Neurospora crassa OR74A: one gene and its partner. The protein of the gene in region 2 interacts with the protein of the main gene of each other region in a biochemical or structural test. Links are inferred from orthologs where the notes say so. Each region holds a gene or a part of one and is shown on either strand. Other genes may lie near its edges.

Region 1 (3,905 bases), on a different chromosome or scaffold from region 2:
CTTTGGCCACAGGGGTGGAGGGGAGGGAAGCAGCTTGCGTCGGTCAAGAAGAGAAAAGAATCCTGATTGCAAAAAGCCCTATCGGTTTATGTAAAGCTGTAAGTTGGGTCAGAGAGGGGCGGCGAATTGTATGGCGATCGGATTGCCGAAGCGAGTAGGAGAGAGTTGGTAAGTTGAGGTTTGCGTAGGCTACTCTGACTTAATGATATCGGATCGGCGGGGCAGCGATGGTGACCTTGATGGGCAGGGCCTGCGAGACGGGACCGGGGGTCCGGGGCAGGAGACGTTTGGAATGTACTATTTCTTGGCGTTTGTCGAGCTACTTTGCTGGCTTTAAGAGCGAAAAGGATGAAGTGGGCGAAGGATAGCCCTGCTTTTACTTTTTGTTGTTATTGTTGTTGTTGCTGTTTGGACGAAGACAGGGCGAACGAGATGATGGGAAGCCAGATTGGGATGTTGTTTGCCTTTACGTTGTCAGACAATGAAATGCAAGAGCTGCTTGATGAGGTACCCGAGCCCTGTACGTACTATGTACAGTAGGTACACAAACAAGGCGGCAGGGGCAGCTTTTGATTGATGGCAAAAACTGCGGGGAATGGGGGGAAAGGTATTGAGGCACTCCGTTAGGTTTTGGCTGAGGGCCGGGGTAAACGTGGACGATGACAACAAAAGCCAAAGAAGAGATGCATCATGATGATCTTGGAGCGTCGGGCAGGTATCCTTCGGTTTCTCATCGGTTTCGGCCTGCTCACAAATTTCACTTGCTGTACAGAAATGGGTATCTCATGAGGGGATGATGGAGGGGCTTCGGAGGTCAACTGCTCGGTCGCTGAGGGGACATCCCCAAGGCCCGGGCCCCTCTTCACTGTTATGTGTCAAGGGACGGAGGTCTTGGGCTCTGACATCGTGCACGGGCTCCAGACGGGCTATTCGGCTCTCTGAACTCAGCGATGCCATCGCGGGGCTACATCCGCTCATCGCTCCATGAAAACGAAAGTTGAGTCTATAGCTCTAGTCTAGACGTTTCCGCTAAATGTATTCTATGTTACTATGAAGCCAGACCGCTTCCCGTCTTTGCCAATGTCTTCCGCTGTGCAAGAACATTGTGGCTGAGGATAGGCAAGTACTTGGGTGACGGTGTGTCTCTGTATGTAAAAAAAAAAAAGAAAAAAAAAAAGCGACCAATGAAATTCCCACCAGATATGCCTGCTTGGGAGACCACGAAAACGCCCAAACACACCGCGAGTGTCCCCGACGCTATGCAAATATGACGGGTTGAAGCAGAACAAGAATAAGAAAGAGAAAGGTATATCATCACCATCCTGACCCGAACCAGACCCAGCCCAGCTTGACAACGGCGATAAAAACGGTTGCTGCTGCTGTTGAAGGAACAACAAGCAAGTAAGCAAGCAAGTCCTTCTATTGCTTGGAGTTGGAATCGTCGTCGTCATCCTCGCTCCCTTCCTCCCCGTCCTCAAAGTCCTCCATCTCGTCGTCATCCCCGGTGTCACTACCACCAAAGTCAAACTCCTCATCCGACTCGGCCCAAAAATCGTCGTCGTTCTCGGCCTTCGGAGGCGGCTTTTCCTCAAAGCTGACCGGCATCTCGAATCCTGGCGGGATATCCTTCTTTGATCTCTCCACCGTTTCCCGGGCCTTCTTGTTGTAATCCTCTCGGCGGTCGCGGTACATGACGCCCGCGTCCACGTTGGCGGGGCTATTGATTTCAGGGTCGTCCAGCAGCAACAGAACCGACCTCAGCACACTCTCGGCGCCCTGGAGCGGCGACCAACGCTCGCTAGCCTGCTCGCCAGACATGAGGTCCTCGCCGGGTGTGTGCAGGATCGAGATGCAGAGCTGGCCGTCCGGATACACATTGGGGTGGGTGATGGGGATCAGGAAGCGGAACTTGGGCGGCTGGTAGGGGTATTCGTCCGAAAATACCATCTCGGCCCTGAAGTACCCCCCGTTAAAGGCGCTGTCGGGGTTGATGACCATGAGGCCGAAGCGCCACTTGAGGATGTTGAGGGTCGCAGAATCGTCCTGTTTGCGCCAAAGAAGTGAGGGTCAGTCTAGGTTCCGTAGTGAAGGTATAGTGATACTAGAATCGACGTGCCGGTACTGCGCCCGCGAACGACAGACCGGCAAAGGAGAAAAAACGAACGGTACTAGGACGTACATCTTCAAAGTGAATCCACTTCTCCTTTCGTAGCGCCTTCATCTCACTCATCAGGCGCGTTGTAGCGCCCGACGCTGTTGTCCTGTACGACATGGCAAAATGTGGTTACGGAAGTGAAGGCGAGGTGCCGGTGGCGGAGGTTGACAAAAGAAAGAATGGGCTGCCGCTGGAAAAGCCCACTTTACTTCGTTGGTGGTGGCGGTGGTGGTGAAGTAGATATGTTGTGGTGGCTCGTCAAGGGATCGACACGTAAAGTGCTGACGAAGATCCCTCTCGTGCGCAAGATCGGGGGCCTCGAGAGGAAAATGGTGGTATTTGTAGTTTGAGGGGATGTTGGCAAGAGGCGGGCGGGTGTTTGGGGAAGATTGTTAGACGGTCGGTGGTGAAGGCCGGGGTGGGTATTGATCTTTTGAAGAGGGATGGAATGATAACGATAACCAAACAATGGGAACAGACTCTATGGAAGCACGGACGGTCGGGATAGAAGTTCACGGTTTGTCACGATGGTGGTCTTTGGGAAGTGGGTTGGAAATCAAGGGCTGGGCGGTGACAATCTGGAACAATAGAGAGGTTGCGAGTCAGGAGAAAGCAGGGTCAGACGGGAGGAAAAGTGGAAGGGCGTACGAACGTCACAACCGGATCAGGAAAAGGTGTGTGAACTACACTACTACGATGTGAGCGATGGAATCATGGCAGGGTCACGCTTCCCTTGGGTTCCTCGGAGCGAGGACCCGGATAGAAGGTTGGGCAGTCTCTAGCACGCACTCTCAACTTAACCTAAGTCTACACGAAGCAACCGACCCAGACCATTTGTGATGGTCCCGTCATTGCCCAACTTCCTTCTCCCATGGTGGTGCAGCAGCCGAGCTGAGCGAGGCACTGAGGAATCCTAACAACTGCATGTCTCGCCTTACGTTTGTTAATGGTGGTCAACACCGCTGCACAATGGCGGTCTCGGGCTCTCGGCATAGGTACCTACCTCTACATAAGACCAATACACCTGACAGGAGTATCGTCAAAGGAGGGAGGCCGTAATCCCCGCCCTTCCATATTATCGTATTGTAATTGCCCGTCAACCTTTACAAAGCAGGCGGAACCTCCCAGAACGGCCTTTTTTTTTTTTTTTTTCTCTGGCAAAGGGGGGGCCCATCAGACAATCATGTACAATCTACCCGCAAGGAGACGGGACGACACGACGGTGCAGTTCCTTTGCCACTGACAAATGAGCATCCCATGGTGATAGGGCATATTGGTGGTGGTCAGAATTGCAGTTATCGGATGTTTCAGAGGATGCACTAACAATTTCCCAAGTACACTAGATCCCGTCACGGTCCACTGAAGCTACAAAGAAGTGACGCAGTTCCATGTTGTCCTGTTGACTGCCCAGACAACAAATGATCGATGCCTTAAATCGAATCCACATTCGCATCTGTTTCCAAGCATCATATACCCGTCATTCACAACACTTTGCTGTAAATAAGAGTAGGTACAGGTAACGTGTTGCCCAACATGAGGGAAGAAGATGGATCGATTCGTTTGCATACTGGCAGCGGTTCCCATTTTCTCGTAAACCATGGATGGGAAACGTCCGTGCCAGGCAGTTAGAAGATCCGGTGGGTAACAGTAGGCAAGGACCTTGATGGTCAGTTCCTCCGCAATCGGTCTTCTTCCTGGCTTCTTGTGTGCGAACGAACTTCTTGTTGGCCAGCAGGGTGATCTTCCCGTA
Region 2 (4,270 bases):
ATATGCCTAGGGCGCCTTCAAGCACGTCCGCGTTGAGTTGAGTGATGCTCGCAAGCTCCTCGAACGTGTACTGGTCCTTCTCGTTGAAAAGCAGTAAGATGGCCATCTGGTACGCCGACACGCTAAAGATATAGGGCATCTTAGCGCCCTTCATATAATTCGCCTTGATGTCGCCCTTGCACAGCTGCCACAGCCAAGTGAGCTTGCGGCCTTCGTGCTTGTTCTTGTAGAAGCGGGTGAACCGATCGCAGTCGGCCGAGATCTCGGCGGGCGCAACAAAGCTGGTGTTTGGCGGAACGAGCGGCCAGAAACCGGTGCCGAGGATAGAGTACGTCGAGTCGAGCGGCTTGCCGTCCATGTTGAGGGAGGCGACGTGCTCCTTGAAGCCTGTGTTGAGATCCTTGGAGATCTGCATGTCCTGGAACATGCGTTGCAACTTGTTGGTGTATTCGAAGCCGCAGGCCTCCTTGAGCTTGGAAATCATCGAGGTCTCGGCATCGTCCGAGTTGGAGTTGCTGTGTACGAGGCGGCGCGCCAGCATGCGTGAGTAGAACTTTTGAAACACGTCCTTGTCCTGGATGTACTTGAACACAGTCATAATCTGCGTCAGCGTGTTCTCGAGCTCCGCCTCCTCCACTCCGGTGCTGCTCTTGCGGAGAAGCACGTCCGTGTACTTGGCCAGCAGTTCCGGTGACTTGTTGGAGCCCGATTTGCAGACCTCGTTCCGGTTCACAAACTCCTTGCACGCGTTGTCTAGAGATCTGGTGAAGTCAGGCTCCTTGTTGAAAGCGCGCTCAACTAACCCCTGGTACTGAGTGTGGATCTCAAGCAGAGCGTCGACGTAGACCTTGGGCTCCAGCTTGTCGGCGTCTGCAGCCACCTTGGCAACAGCCGCCAAACCAGCCTTGCGAACATGGGCCTCGAAACGAGTCCGCAGAGGCTCCAGACCGTCGGGAATGCGAGAAAGGAGGCTGTACATCCGCCTCATGTCGTCCTCTCGGTTGTTGTCCAGCAGGGCCTGGAATTCTTCACGCAACAGGGTAGAGTGCTCCGCGATGAGGGCCTGGTTGCAAGTCCTCTTCAGATGTAGGGCAATATCTGGATGCAGATACATGCGTACGCGCTCCTCCTCCTCAGCCAGGCGAGCCTCGGCCTTCTTCATGTACTCGACAACGCTATTCTCGGCCACGAACTGTTTGCTTTCGTTTTGGTAGAAGACTTTGGTCGCCTCCAGGAACGGCCTTTCAAAGTGGTACCTATACACTTCCAGCGTCGTCTTGGTGTTGTCGCCTTCGTCCATACCGAGTGAGACGAAGCTATCGACCACCTGTTTGATCTGGGTGTACTCGATGGTTTCACCGAGGCGTTGCCTTTCCACTAGCTTGAGAACGGCGTCCATGACTTTCTTAGAGACAGCCTGGAACAACACGTCACGCCACTGAACAAGGTGGAGCGTGTAGACGTCGTAAATGTTCTTTTTCCCTTCATCCATCTCGCGCTTAACCCAGTGTCTATTCAGGTACTTGAAGAGATGGTGGATATACTTGGCGGCGTTGGTGTAGCGTTGCCATTCGCGAATGTAAAAAGCTAACAAGGCCTCGTCCTTGTGAGCCTCCGCTTCGGAGACTAGGTGCTTAAGGTGGTCTGTCAGGTAGTTGGCCAGCTTCTTGTACAAGTCCTCACCAAGCAGATGGGCTGGTGCATGTTAGTCCTCTTGCTCAATCTGTTTAACGGGCAAATGCAGGGAAAGACAACATACCCCCTCTCTGGGCCCCGATTCCCGGAAGGTGATTACTCGGACTGCTGCTACCGCCGTTGGCCTTCTGCGATGTGCAGAAGTTGTGCACCGCCCTATGCCGCAGTTAGTACCATGTTGAAGGAGTGTATAGACAAATAGGGCATCCGTCCAACTAACGTGTAGATTCCCATGTACTACAAACGGCGTGTGTTAGCGGGGGGTAACGTGGACGGATGGGCGAGGAAGAAACATACACTGCTCATGTCGAGGCCTTCTTGGAGGTTGGTCATGATCTTGTTGATACTAGACTGCAAGTATGGCCAACTGATTGGCAGAGGGTCAGTACGGCTGTTTGGAGGCAGAGGGGCCAGCAGCGAAGAGAGCGAAAACATACGTGCTGTCGATACCATCACTGCCAGAAGGCTGCTGCCCGTACGCCCCCATCATCATGGTTGCCGGAGGCATGTTTGTTGTGTCTATGTGTATGTTCGTTTGAAGAGCGATCGTGCGCCGGGAATCGAAGAAAGAATGCGATGTTGGGAATAATATGCCGGCTGACAAGTGGTGGTGGACGAGGGGCGTAATCCGTGAGAAAACTCAAGCTGACCAGGTCGTGTTGGGTCGCGTGTGTTCGTCCAGAGGCTGTCGGGGGGGCAAGAACGAGTTTGATCTGGGCGACCGGTCGTTCTTGAGGTTGGAAGCGCGTTGACTGCGACCGGTGACGAAGGGTAAATGGACTGGGTGGCAGCCAGAGGCGTAGAAGTAGAAGCTCGTCCTGAGCGATGAGGCGCGCCACAGGTCTGGAAGGTCGGATGGATGGCGGGGGTCACCACGTCCTTAGGTCCGTCGGTGTCGGCTGGGAGAAGGACCGTGACCGTGAGCAGACAGACAGACGGGTTGATCGGATATCGGGTCGGGTGAAGAAAGGATTGTTCCCTTGGAGTGACGGGTGTGAGGTCGCAGCCTAGAGGTGAGGTGTAGAGGTAGGTACCTTGGCTGGTTGTTGTTGTTGTTGTTGTTGTTGTTGTGGTGGTGTTCTGACAGGTTTCAATGTTCTGTTCTGAGTGTAGGTAATCAAGTTGAAGAGTGGAGTTTCCAGTTTCCAGATTGGCCCCCCGAGGCTGCTGCTGCTGCTGCTGCTGCCGTGGTCGATGCCCGGATGATAGAGCGATGCCGTCGTTCGTTGACGGTTTTCAGGCTGCAGCGGCGTGGCAGGCATCGATTGACACTGACAGCAAGCAGCATGGAGGCTCCAGAGCAGTGGCCCCCCCGCCAGTAAACGTCCACCGCGAACACGCAAAATTGTGGGGAACCAACCATGGACGGGAAAGTGGCGGGGATGGAGACGACCTATGCCCTGCGATGCGGGACGGGCGACCATCTAGTGTACATTCCGTCATTACCGGTACATCTAACAATGGCGGCTAACAGATCTGATGAAGGTATGTACCTTATATTGATATAATACCATGTTTCTTCTCAATATGAATACAATAACCGGAACTGAAGTAATAAAATATGGGGATGGCACATATGTACAGCTGGCGGGGCATTTTACATACAAGAAAGCAGAACAGTGACAACGATGTAGCTACTTGTAGGTAGAGGTAGGTCAGCCGTTTACAGCCCCTTTAACCGCTAATGTTGTAGAAGGACACCATTGGTGGCCAGAATTCGATTAAACTGCATGTATTTTTCTGCTGGGAGCTCACGGCAGGCAATATGATATCTCCTTACCATGTCAAATCTTTCGCTATCCGTTCCCCTTTTCATGTCTCATAATGCATATACAATCGAGTAATAATCATCACCATCCTTGCTAATATCAACATCACCAACATTACCAACTGATCAAACACTATTTGTTACCGCTGTATGCTAATTTGCTAATCCAAAAACCCCACCCAAAAGAACACAGAGGCAGAACCGTGCTGAGGTATCGACAAAGTACGAGAAAATGCAAGTAAGTATGCTCCCATGCGGGTGGTTGGAGACGTTCGACGTGATTCATCTCCCCCGCTTTGTTTTTCTTTCCCTCTCAATATCCTTCGGGGCTTGACCGCCCATTATAACCGTCATTACCTTCCCCTCTGAGTCTCCAAATCATCTCCGCCTCCCAGCTTTACTACCAGCCTAAACACATTGACCGTAAAGTTGGTCAACCAGAAAAAAAGCCCAAGCAGCTGAAACGCGGCCAGCGCCTGGCTGAAATGGTCCGTGAAGCGATCTTGACTGTTATGATAAACCAACACCTCATATGCCAACGCCGTGCTGGCCGCCTTGAACACGATGAAAAACACATCCATCAGCACCAACCCGCTCTTTTGCGTCACCGGCCTTAGTCCCAATGGGCGGCCCGTGTATTCGTCCCAGAGCATGTACCCGATATAGGGAATCGCTATCGTGTCCACCGCAATCGCCACTATCGCTTGAGTCCGCTCTGACGACCCGGGCGAGATCTGTCTTATCAGGGAAAGCTCTTGGTCGACGTATCCTTCGGAATTGGAGGCTGAATGCAGGGCTCGTAATCGA

The links.
Region 1: the proteins of cul-1 (region 2) and NCU01188 form a complex in vitro, tested with the Saccharomyces cerevisiae proteins (4 studies listed by BioGRID). The link is inferred for Neurospora crassa OR74A from reciprocal best matches to the Saccharomyces cerevisiae genes CDC53 and CDC34.

The regions. Positions count from the first base shown.
Region 1 is NC_026505.1:3,175,158-3,179,062, reverse strand, and holds NCU01188 (ubiquitin conjugating enzyme), read right to left. Parts: upstream 2,772-3,905; 5' UTR 2,273-2,771; coding exon 2,180-2,272; intron 2,044-2,179; coding exon 1,420-2,043; 3' UTR 813-1,419; downstream 1-812. UniProt on the Saccharomyces cerevisiae protein: Catalyzes the covalent attachment of ubiquitin to other proteins. Capable, in vitro, to ubiquitinate histone H2A. Mediates the initiation of DNA replication (transition of G1 to S phase in cell cycle).
Region 2 is NC_026504.1:5,761,856-5,766,125, forward strand, and holds the start of cul-1 (Cullin 1), read right to left. Parts: upstream 2,836-4,270; 5' UTR 2,204-2,835; coding exon 2,133-2,203; intron 2,063-2,132; coding exon 1,993-2,062; intron 1,933-1,992; coding exon 1,916-1,932; intron 1,852-1,915; coding exon 1,760-1,851; intron 1,696-1,759; coding exon 1-1,695. Other genes in the region: NCU05203 (hypothetical protein), read right to left, coding at 3,817-4,270. UniProt on the Saccharomyces cerevisiae protein: Core component of multiple cullin-RING-based SCF (SKP1-CUL1-F-box) E3 ubiquitin-protein ligase complexes which mediate the ubiquitination and subsequent proteasomal degradation of target proteins.